Nothobranchius furzeri: one gene and its partner. The protein of the gene in region 1 purifies or fractionates together with the protein of each later gene. This does not show direct contact. Links are inferred from orthologs where the notes say so. Each region holds a gene or a part of one and is shown in the gene's direction. Other genes may lie near its edges.

The links.
Region 2: the proteins of mapk6 (region 1) and ech1 purify together in Homo sapiens (affinity purification with mass spectrometry; 3 studies listed by BioGRID and IntAct, with this or other methods). This does not show direct contact. The link is inferred for Nothobranchius furzeri from reciprocal best matches to the Homo sapiens genes MAPK6 and ECH1.

The regions. Positions count from the first base shown.
Region 1 is NC_091749.1:41,777,364-41,782,310, reverse strand, and holds the start of mapk6 (mitogen-activated protein kinase 6), read left to right. Parts: upstream 1-1,885; 5' UTR 1,886-2,118; coding exon 2,119-2,355; intron 2,356-2,446; coding exon 2,447-2,764; intron 2,765-4,947. UniProt on the Homo sapiens protein: Atypical MAPK protein. Phosphorylates microtubule-associated protein 2 (MAP2) and MAPKAPK5.
Region 2 is NC_091753.1:47,224,423-47,229,391, reverse strand, and holds the start of ech1 (delta(3,5)-Delta(2,4)-dienoyl-CoA isomerase, mitochondrial), read left to right. Parts: upstream 1-1,928; 5' UTR 1,929-2,161; coding exon 2,162-2,198; intron 2,199-2,952; coding exon 2,953-3,121; intron 3,122-4,612; coding exon 4,613-4,701; intron 4,702-4,777; coding exon 4,778-4,902; intron 4,903-4,969. UniProt on the Homo sapiens protein: Isomerization of 3-trans,5-cis-dienoyl-CoA to 2-trans,4-trans-dienoyl-CoA.

The DNA.
Region 1 (4,947 bases):
GTGTGTGTGTGTGTGTGTGTCTAAAATTAACCGATTAACAAAGACAGTCGATTTCCCTGTTTTGCATTTATTGCATCCATGAACCTGCAACCATCATAGATTATTTTTAATCTACAGCTGTGGCGTGATCTCCAAAATTAATTTACGTTTTGAATGACTTCTGCTGCATTCACGTACTGCTTGAAACTCCGAGTTTTCACGCCTTTCTGCGTCTGATAGAGTTTTAACAGTACAAGGAACCCGTGAAAATGTGCTGCGAAATTTTGCGTCAAATTAGGAGGGTTTAGTTTGCATTTTATGTTACTAATATCGGTTATATAATACTGAAAATACAGTAAGCATTAATGGAAGCCTTATGGAATATGTCAAAGGAATACTTGTATTTCCTGGACTACAAAAAAAAAGAACAAAATATTGAATTTAATAAAAAAAAAAGAGCAGCGTAGTTTGCAGTGTTCCATGGTAAATAAGCCCACCTTTTTTAACATATGAGAAATAAATATTTACAAATTTATTTGGATGATTTTTGTTATTTCAATTATTATTTTTTATTTATTGTGACATGTTCTAATTCAGTTCGGTGTGATTAAGCAATCTAAAATAAATGGTTTGACGTAGCTTCAGCGTTCTCTCGCTGTAGTAGGAACAATTCCGATAGTCATTGAATGTAGCATTCTGACGTGACCGTTTCCTTTCATAGCCAGCATAATGGCGATTGCAGTAGATCCGCAGAGGTCGGGGAGCGAAGCGCAGTCAAACCTCGTCTGGGTTTGATTTACACAATAACCTAACTAATGCGACGAATAAGGACTGTAAGTAATTTCACACACATTGATTATCGTCATTATTGCTTACGAATGATGTAATTTCACTGCCGTTTTATGCTCGTTTTGAGCCTTTTAGCCGCCGTCGGCTTTGTGTAGTGTAGCGCCGAGAGAGCTATACCACGTAGTCAAAACCCTCCGCCAACAGGGACTCCTTTGTTCGCGCGATTGCCGGGTTTCTGTTTAACCTTTATACTTGACATTTATTAAATACACGATGTCTAGACTTTAACGTGTTATTTTTATAATGTATTTTATGTGTGTGCCACTGGCTGTGTTTGTGATAAAATTGATACCGAGTCGACAGCCGCTGTGCGAGCGGCTTGTCTCTTTGCTTGTCGGTTTTTTTCCGCCAGGGTTTCACTCGAAAAGGCCAAAACGAGCGGTATAAGCTCGGCATAAAATATGTCATCTGTCATTGATGTGCTGTTTTCCTACGTTGTCGTACATTTTATTATTCTGACTTGTATTTTCTCTGGAATTAATCGATGTCCAGAAACCGGACTAGCAAGCGCTTCTACCGGTTAGGGGCGGGGCAAATGTCTCTAGGACACGGGGTTAAAGCGAAAGCGGTTTTGGTGTCCCTAATGACATGTTAACGTACAAAAGGGGACGTTTGATTACGTTTTGTAGGAAATTTACACGAACACCCATTTTCTAGTTTCTTTGTATTCTAATCAGTATTTTGTTTTTCTCTTTTCAGGTTATATCCAAGTAAAATGGAGGATAGCTTTGATTGTGATTGTGGTGAGCTTGAGCCACCTGATCATTGAGGGTGAAAGATTTTTTTGAACAAGATTCATTTCAAATTTATAGATCAGGTGAAGAAATTTAAGAAAAAGAATATTTGTGCAATAAGGCACATTTCATATGAAGCTACTCAGGACCAGTCGTACACTGAATGTATTTGCACTGTGAGGATGTGACTACATCTTTCTAGTTTAACCTAATCCCAGTGCTTTTTTTTTTTACTCCCTTCCAATTGGCCTGGAATTTTCATTCCAATATAGTTTATAAACACTAGTTTACTTGGAGCTGTTAAAATAATTTGTTATATTAAATATTTTTCCTACTGAACATGGAGGGAACGTATGATTTCACATTAGTGCCCCACATCTGACATTGACGGCTAACCAGGGGGACTGGGTAGTCATCTGTACAGGGGTTAGTTGGATCATCCTTTGAAGGAAAGGGGGAATTTTTTTTAACAAATTCCTCTTTAGGTGTTAAAGTTGGGCTTGTAAAAGGCCTGAAAATAAACTTGAAAATAGCTTAAAGCCTAAAAAACATCATCATGGCAGAAAAGTTTGAGTCATTGATGAATATCCATGGCTTTGACCTGGGATCTCGCTACATGGACTTGAAGCCTCTGGGCTATGGAGGAAACGGCCTGGTGTTTTCAGCGGTCGACACTGACTGTGACAAGCGTGTAGCTGTGAAGAAAATTATCTTGACTGATCCCCAGAGTGTCAAGCATGCCCTGCGGGAAATCAAGATAATTCGACGACTTGATCACGACAACATTGTCAAGGTAGGAGCTTCTGGTGGTTTATCAAACAAAATGAGTTGACTTACTTTTTACTTTGAACATTTGCTGTAATGTCTGGTGTTGACTTTTTCAGGTGTTTGAGACCCTAGGCCCCTGTGGTCGCAGGCTAACAGAAGATGTGGCATCGCTGACAGAGGTAAACTCTGTCTACATTGTACAGGAGTACATGGAGACAGACCTCTGTCAGCTGCTGGAGCGAGGCCCTATGTCTGAAGGCCACGCCAGGCTCTTCATGTACCAACTCCTAAGGGGCCTAAAGTACATCCACTCTGCCAATGTGCTGCACCGTGACCTCAAGCCTGCCAACCTGTTTGTTAACACAGAGGACCTAGTACTTAAGATTGGGGACTTTGGGTTGGCCCGCATCATGGATCCTCACTACTCTCACAAGGTAGGGCTATTACTTAAGCTACTGCTGTTGCAGTTATGTTATTGAGTTTAAGAATTTAAATATTTATAAGGTTTTGTGATTGCTCATAATGTTGTATATTCCGTTGTTCCAGATTTTGTGCTCTGAGGCAAGTGTTTTGTTACACTGACATGAGATGTTTATTGCCCGGTAATGTGGTGCTCTCCTGGGTGATGCAGTTTTTCAATGCAGGAAGTAAACAAGACAGGATGTGGTTCCTTCATGTAACGCCTCTGTTTCCGTTCTCAGGAGGAATATGACTGGAAAACCAAACCCGGATAACTTTTTTTGTTGTTTTATGAGTTTATTAGTGATGTTGCTTAACATTGAGGAAGATTAGATATATTCTTTGCATTAGGATGAAAAAATTAATTGGTTCATGATTACAACAGAACCAGTTCAGTATGGGTTTTTACATGCTGTTAATGCAGACAATGACGTTTTTGATCAAAGCCTGTTTTATGGGCATGCAGCAAAGAAATATATAATAGTTGGTTCATTTTTCAATTACCTTTTTACTTATTGATTTGCAAAATCTAGAAATTAGTTAGAACCTGAGGATCAAAAGCCACACGTGGACAACCAAATGTTGAAGGGATTCATGTTTTTAAATAGTTTTCTTGAGCCAGTATGTGCTAAAACGACCCTTTACATAGTTAACGAAATGTCATTCAGATCCCTACCGCCCTTTGTGGCTGACAACTTCAGTGTTAGTTTAATTTAGTGAGGAACTGCTCCTGTAGACACTAATGAAGGCTGAGGAGACATTTCAGCTGTTTAAGGATTTTAAAAAGAGGGACTCACAGCGAGGAGATAATTTTGTTTTCGGTTTAACATCAGATAAATAATAATGGACACTTGAGGGTGCTAAAAACAAGCAAGACTGCCAAGTGTGCCATTAAAGTGGCAGTGTGTATTTTCCCAGGCAATAGGGCAGGGGCGGGGAACCCTGGTCCATCGAGGGCCGCTATCCAGCATATTTTAGTTTCAACCCTGCATCATCACACCTGATTTCAATCAGCAGGTGATTAACAGGCTTTAGCAGAGTCTGATGAGCTGCAGAACAGGTGAACCAACCACTGTATCAGAAGTGTTGAAGCAAAGACATGCAGGATACCGGCCCTCGAGGACCAGGGTTCCCCACCCCTGCCATAGGGGAAGTACATAACTTGAATCATTGCAAGCAAGCAGTATTTTTGTGTTCAAGTAAGACCTTACCAACAGGTGGCCTTTAGGGTCAAAAATCCCTGGGAGTTAAACCTCCAGCAACATCACAAGACTCAGACTCCGTTTCACCACTGGCAGCAAGTTAAGAGGGAGCTGTGTAAAACAACAATGTTTATTAATGGTAACAATTTTGTAACAGTTTGTCATAAATTAGTAGATGCTTTTTGTCCTCATGGACTTCCATAGAAGGAAACATGGCATCTAATATGGTGTTGCCCAGAGACTGAGGCCTAGTCTACAGGTAGCCGGGTTTCTTTAAAAACGAATATCCACCCCTCCAAAAACTTGCATCCACACCACCTCGTTTAAAAAAAAACTCTGTCCACACGTACCCGGATAAATACGTTGTTAAGGACATGCCAAACCTGTAGGCGGCAGTACTTCCCCCGTTCTTAACCTCGTCCTTCGTCTGTGGTCTTCCGCAAGGAGCAGTAATTCCGCTTGCAAAAACAAACGAGCAAAAAGCGCTTGGACAATTGAAAAAGCGAGCGCAGCTCTGAGGGCATCCATGCTGTCGGCTAGTGTAAACACAGGTCGCACACGTGATGTCAGCATTTTTTTGTCGCGGAAAGTGACGTTGCGGACCTTAAAACTCCGGTTTTGTCTGTCCACACGCAGACACCCAAAACGGAGAAAACGCAGATCTTCACTTTGGCCGGAGTTTTTAAAAAGATCCGTTTTCGTGTGAAAAAACTCCGTTTTCGTGTGGATGACAGGCCAAAACGTAGAAAAATATCTACGTTTTGGCAGATCTCCGGCTACGTGTGGACAGGGCCTTAGACTCACTCTCATGTATTTTAAAACAGACTTTAATGGTTATATGTTATGAAGCTGCCATTATTTTTAAACAACTGGGCGTCATTTAATTCATTTTAAACAAACTTTCGATGGGTATTTCCAGATATTAATGGTAAAAACTACACATTGTCACTTTAAAT
Region 2 (4,969 bases), on another chromosome or scaffold:
CAGAAACACATTTCAATTCTAATGTATACATTTAAAGCAACTAAAAAGCTCTTAACTCTTCGCTGATTCAGCTTCTATGCAAGAGTCCAGGAAACCGCCTTTGTAATCTTTACTGTTTTAAGATGCAGCCCTTCCTCCGTGGTACCTCCTTTGACTCTTATTTCCTCCAGAAAACACTGGTCAGAACCCATTGCCCATCCTGAATGGGCAGCCAAATCAATGAGAGGCATCTCTAAAGATCAGTTAGAAAACTTTGACTGTGATCAAATCCTTAACACCTACCCTGACTCCATCTGAAATGTCTGAGATGTTGGATCAACCCCAGAGACAGAACCAGACAAAGTCCGTGTTTTACCTCTTGAACATGAATGTATTTGTTCTTTTGCATGTCTACCTCAGTCTTTAACTTTGATTTCATTGGTTCACAAACAGGTTTGGCAAACAAATAAAATCTCTTACATAAAATGTGTCTTTAAATGCCCAAAAAGTTTTTAGTTTTTCTGTTTTTGGAAATATTTGTATTAATTATTTTGTCAATTTTTATTTATGATCAGTTGTGATCAAAACTTTTCTATTTTAGTGATGTTTTATATATTGAATGAATAAAATCATTCTTAATATCCAGTGTGTTTTATTCATCTAATTACTCTAACTTTTGTTTTTGAGGGAACATGTTCCACATCTGGTTAATAACCAAACAAATTCCAAGGATTGGAGGTGGATTTTTACTAGATAGTCATTTTGAGGATTTTCTGTCATTTAATGTTTTATCTCATGTTACTAATTTATTTTTAAAATAAAAATATACTCATTTACAGGTCAATAACCACAGATGAGAAAAAATAACACTCTGGAACAGCTACTGAGACCTCATGATGGAAATATGTTGTACATGAAAAAGTCATTTTTATTTAACATTTATATGTTAGAAATATCTTTAAAAAAATCACAAATCTCTCAAAGAATATTGAATTTAAAGCTATTGTTTGGTCTGTTGAATAAATCAAACTATAGATTAAAAGCTCATTTTAAAGATTAAATTGAACTAAATTCAGTTTAAATTAAACTGTATGTGAGCCAACCCATTATATTGTTTATGTTTAAAAAATTGATCCGAAATATTATTGGACTTTGTTTGGGACAGATTTGAGCACATTATAATTAATGTAGTTTATTTCCTGTTGAGTTTTCACACCTAATTTATACTAAATTTAATGTTACTCATTTATTGAAAGCTTAATTTAAAGAGTAAATTTCTATTTATTAGTTTCTGCAATCTGCGCTTAATTACTTTCAGCAGAAGATATGTTCATGGCTTTGCACTTTTCTGATCTCTGTTGTGGGCACCAAGCAAAAATCTCTGCCCATTTGCGTACATTCTTTTAAAAACCAAGAATGTCCACATTCAGTGTTTGTATATGAAATGATCAGACATTTATAACTGGAAGCCCTCAAGCAGCCACTTTTAAAAAGTTGTGAAACAAAAAAACAATAAAAACTGCTGTCAAATTAACAAATGAAAATATCAGATTGTGCCCCAGAAGATAATGCACTTTGACTAAAAATAAATTCAAACTGGAAAGTAAAAAGAGGTAAAAAAAAAAAAAAAGGAGGAAATTAAAACCTTAGAATGATTAACTTTTTTTGTTTATAGTACAGTTTTTAAGCACATTATTGTAATGGACATTATATGTAATTACAAACCTAGGCTACTGTAAAACTAATAACAACAGAGTACATTTTATTATTATTGTCATTGTCTTTTATTAATAATAATAAGTAAAATGGATATATGGCATAGGATTCGTCCAGTTTTTCTATACGTCACAGTGACGAAAGAGAGCGTTTCTGGAGCGTTTGCGCCAACTCGGCTACCGTAGAACCAATTTAGAGAGGCTAAGCTAATCAGGAGAGCGAAATGTTAACATTTATGGCCAGTTTTTGCTTTAAACATTCCTCTTATTTCATGTAGATTTAGGTTAAAGCGGTCAAGCAGTCTTTCTGTCATTTGGAAGCTAACCAATGAAGCAGTGAAGAGTTTTGGCAAGCCAGCCAACTTGTTGGTTACTAGTTAGGGTTAGCTAGACGTCGTTAGTCTTTTGCCAGTTTGCTTTGGTTTAACCGTTCACCAAAGCTTCCCGACTGCAGCGTTCAAAGGGCGATGTTGTCAGTCAGTATCAGGTCAACTCTCCCCAGATGTAAGTAACGGATTAACCTTTTTTCTGTGTTTCTGTTTTAGTTCAGATGTTTTCTTTTGTCACATGATGTGCACGTTTGTTTGGATGTTAGTCATTAGTACTAGCTCTACTTTGTATTTAACCCTCAAATTGACCGAGATGAACAAAGCCTGGAGAGGTTTGTAGGTGAAAGGTAGCTGCTTAATCGACACGCATTCTAACGTATTTTTATATACTTTTGTTATAACTGAGGTTGTAGCATAAATATACTGAGTATCTAACCTTTTTACTGATTTGCATTGCGTTAACAAATGTCACAGCATGTCTACAATATAGACTTTTATTTCACAATTAAGTCTCTTTTTGCAGGGTTACAGCTGTAAGGTGATTGAAATTCCTTTAAAATGCTTTAAATAAAAAAATGTACATGGAATTAACAGAAATTGGTGTTTTATTATTATTATTCAGATTTACTTTGATGGAAAAGGAAATTAAACAGTCGTTTTGATCATAGCTGTAATATTCATGTATGACCAAGTGAGGTGCTGCAAAATATTGCAAACTATATGTATTTATATATAATTAAACTTTGGATATTTTTTCATAATAATAAGCATCTTAATGCTATCAGGCCCTTTACACAACAGTTCTGCAGCATTTGGTGACAAGTCACCTGATCCTGTTTTTTGCATTACAGCCCACCCTAAAGCAGGTTAGCTAGTATACATCAGTGACCTAATGTAGATAAACACAAGCGTGTTTAATTCCTTTTCAGACAGTAGGTTGTGGCTGCCTGCTCAGGCTTTGGTCAGGAACATGTCATCTTCAGATGGACCCACATCTCCATACACGACCCTGGCCATCAGTCGCCCAGTAGAGTCCCTCACACATGTCGAACTTCACCGACCTGAGAAGAGAAACGCCATGAACAAAGCTTTCTGGAGGTGAGCATTTTTATAGCAATAAATATACAAAATGTGTGTTTTTTTCCGTGACATTGGGGTACCTTTTCTTCAAGTGAAGTCATGTAATAGTTTTTATGCCAATTTTCTTGAGGAAACACACATTTTCTTAAAACTTTTAAGATGTATTTTATCTAGACACACATATGCATAAGGACACACATATTATAGATTTATTTCTAAAATATTACATATAGAAATAATAGCTTTAGAGCTTGTATACAATACAGTAAGGAGGCAGTGCAGAGTAGTTAAAATGCTATCATAAATCAGAAATCCATTTTTCTCAGAGGGCACCATCTACAGGCAGAATTGTATTGCAACTTCAAGCCCCTCCCCCTGCTTCCATGATACAGTTGAAACGACTCGATCGTTTAGTCCATGGGCTTTTCTTTACTTTTGTCTATCTTCGAGTAAATGGTTTGGATTTATATAGCGCCTTCTAGGGTCGTATAACCCCTCAAGGTGCTTTACAACACATCCGGTCATTCACCCACACACACACACACACACATTCACTCGCTGAGTAGAAGTAGGCAATCTGTTCTGTATTTTTAGTCCCTCAAAAGGCAGTTGTAGCTGCGCTCTATGATTCGTCAGGTGTTCACGCACTCTGTGATTGACATTTGTACGTAAGCAGATGTCGAACGCTATTGGCTAGTTCATTTCAAATTGTATGGGAGCCTATAGGGCAGGTGGGCTTAGCAAAAAACAAAATGTTTATGTATCTAGCAGACGCTTTTGTCCAAAGCGACTTACAAGTGATAAATAACCTCGACTATTGCCTATCGTCATTAGGGGCGATGATGGCACAGGAGTTAAGTGCTCGCCCCATAATCGGAAGGTTGCAGGTTCGAGCCCCGCTCAGTTTGTCGCTGTCGTGTCCTTGGGCAAGACACTTAACCCACCTTGCCTGCTGGTGGTGGTCAGAGGGACCGGTGGCGCCAGTGCACGGCAGCCTCGCCTCTGTCAGTGCGCCCCAGGGCAGCTGTGGCTACATTGTAGCTCATCCCCACCAGCGTGTGAATGTGTGTGTGAATGGGTGATTGACTGTGTTGTAAAGCTCCTTGGGGGGTCCCAGGACTCTAGAAGGCGCTATGTCAAATACAGGCCATTTTCCATTTACATTATATTACAGAACAGGGGAAGCCTATCCCTTTTACGGATTACTAAAAAAAAAATCATACAGAATTCCTGAAAAGGGTAAAGCTCTGGATTTCTGCTTTGAGGTCATTAATATTTGGTTTAAGCATCTAAATTTAATCTTTTATTTGGATAATTTTATTAAAATCACATCACACATCATTATGATGACTATGATTTAATGACTTTGTGATTTTGTCTGTGAGGAGTGCCACACAAATAAAATTTAATCACTTACATTAATAATAATCCAGTTTAACGGAAACTTAGCTGCAAACGCATCCATAGTTGAAGCAGCCCTGACATAGTGTTTGTGTTTTTATTTTTTAGTGAGATGGTGGACTGTTTTAATGAGATTGCAGACGACCAAGACTGCAGGGTGGTGGTCATGTCAGGAGCAGGAAGGATGTTCACAGCTGGTGTGTTTCGGGTCACAACTAATGCCAGTTTCATCAGCGGAGCTGCGCTTATTCCGTATGCTCTGTTGATGTCCAGGTCTTGACCTGATGGACATGGCCAATGATATCCTCCAGCCGAAAGGCGACGACGTGGCAAGAATCTCCTGGAACCTCAGAAAAACCATCACCAAATATCAAGAAACGTTCTCCGTCATAGAGAAGGTCAGAGCTCCTCATCACATGCATTGGACAAATAATGACGCAGGAATGTTAATGAAGTTATTCTTAT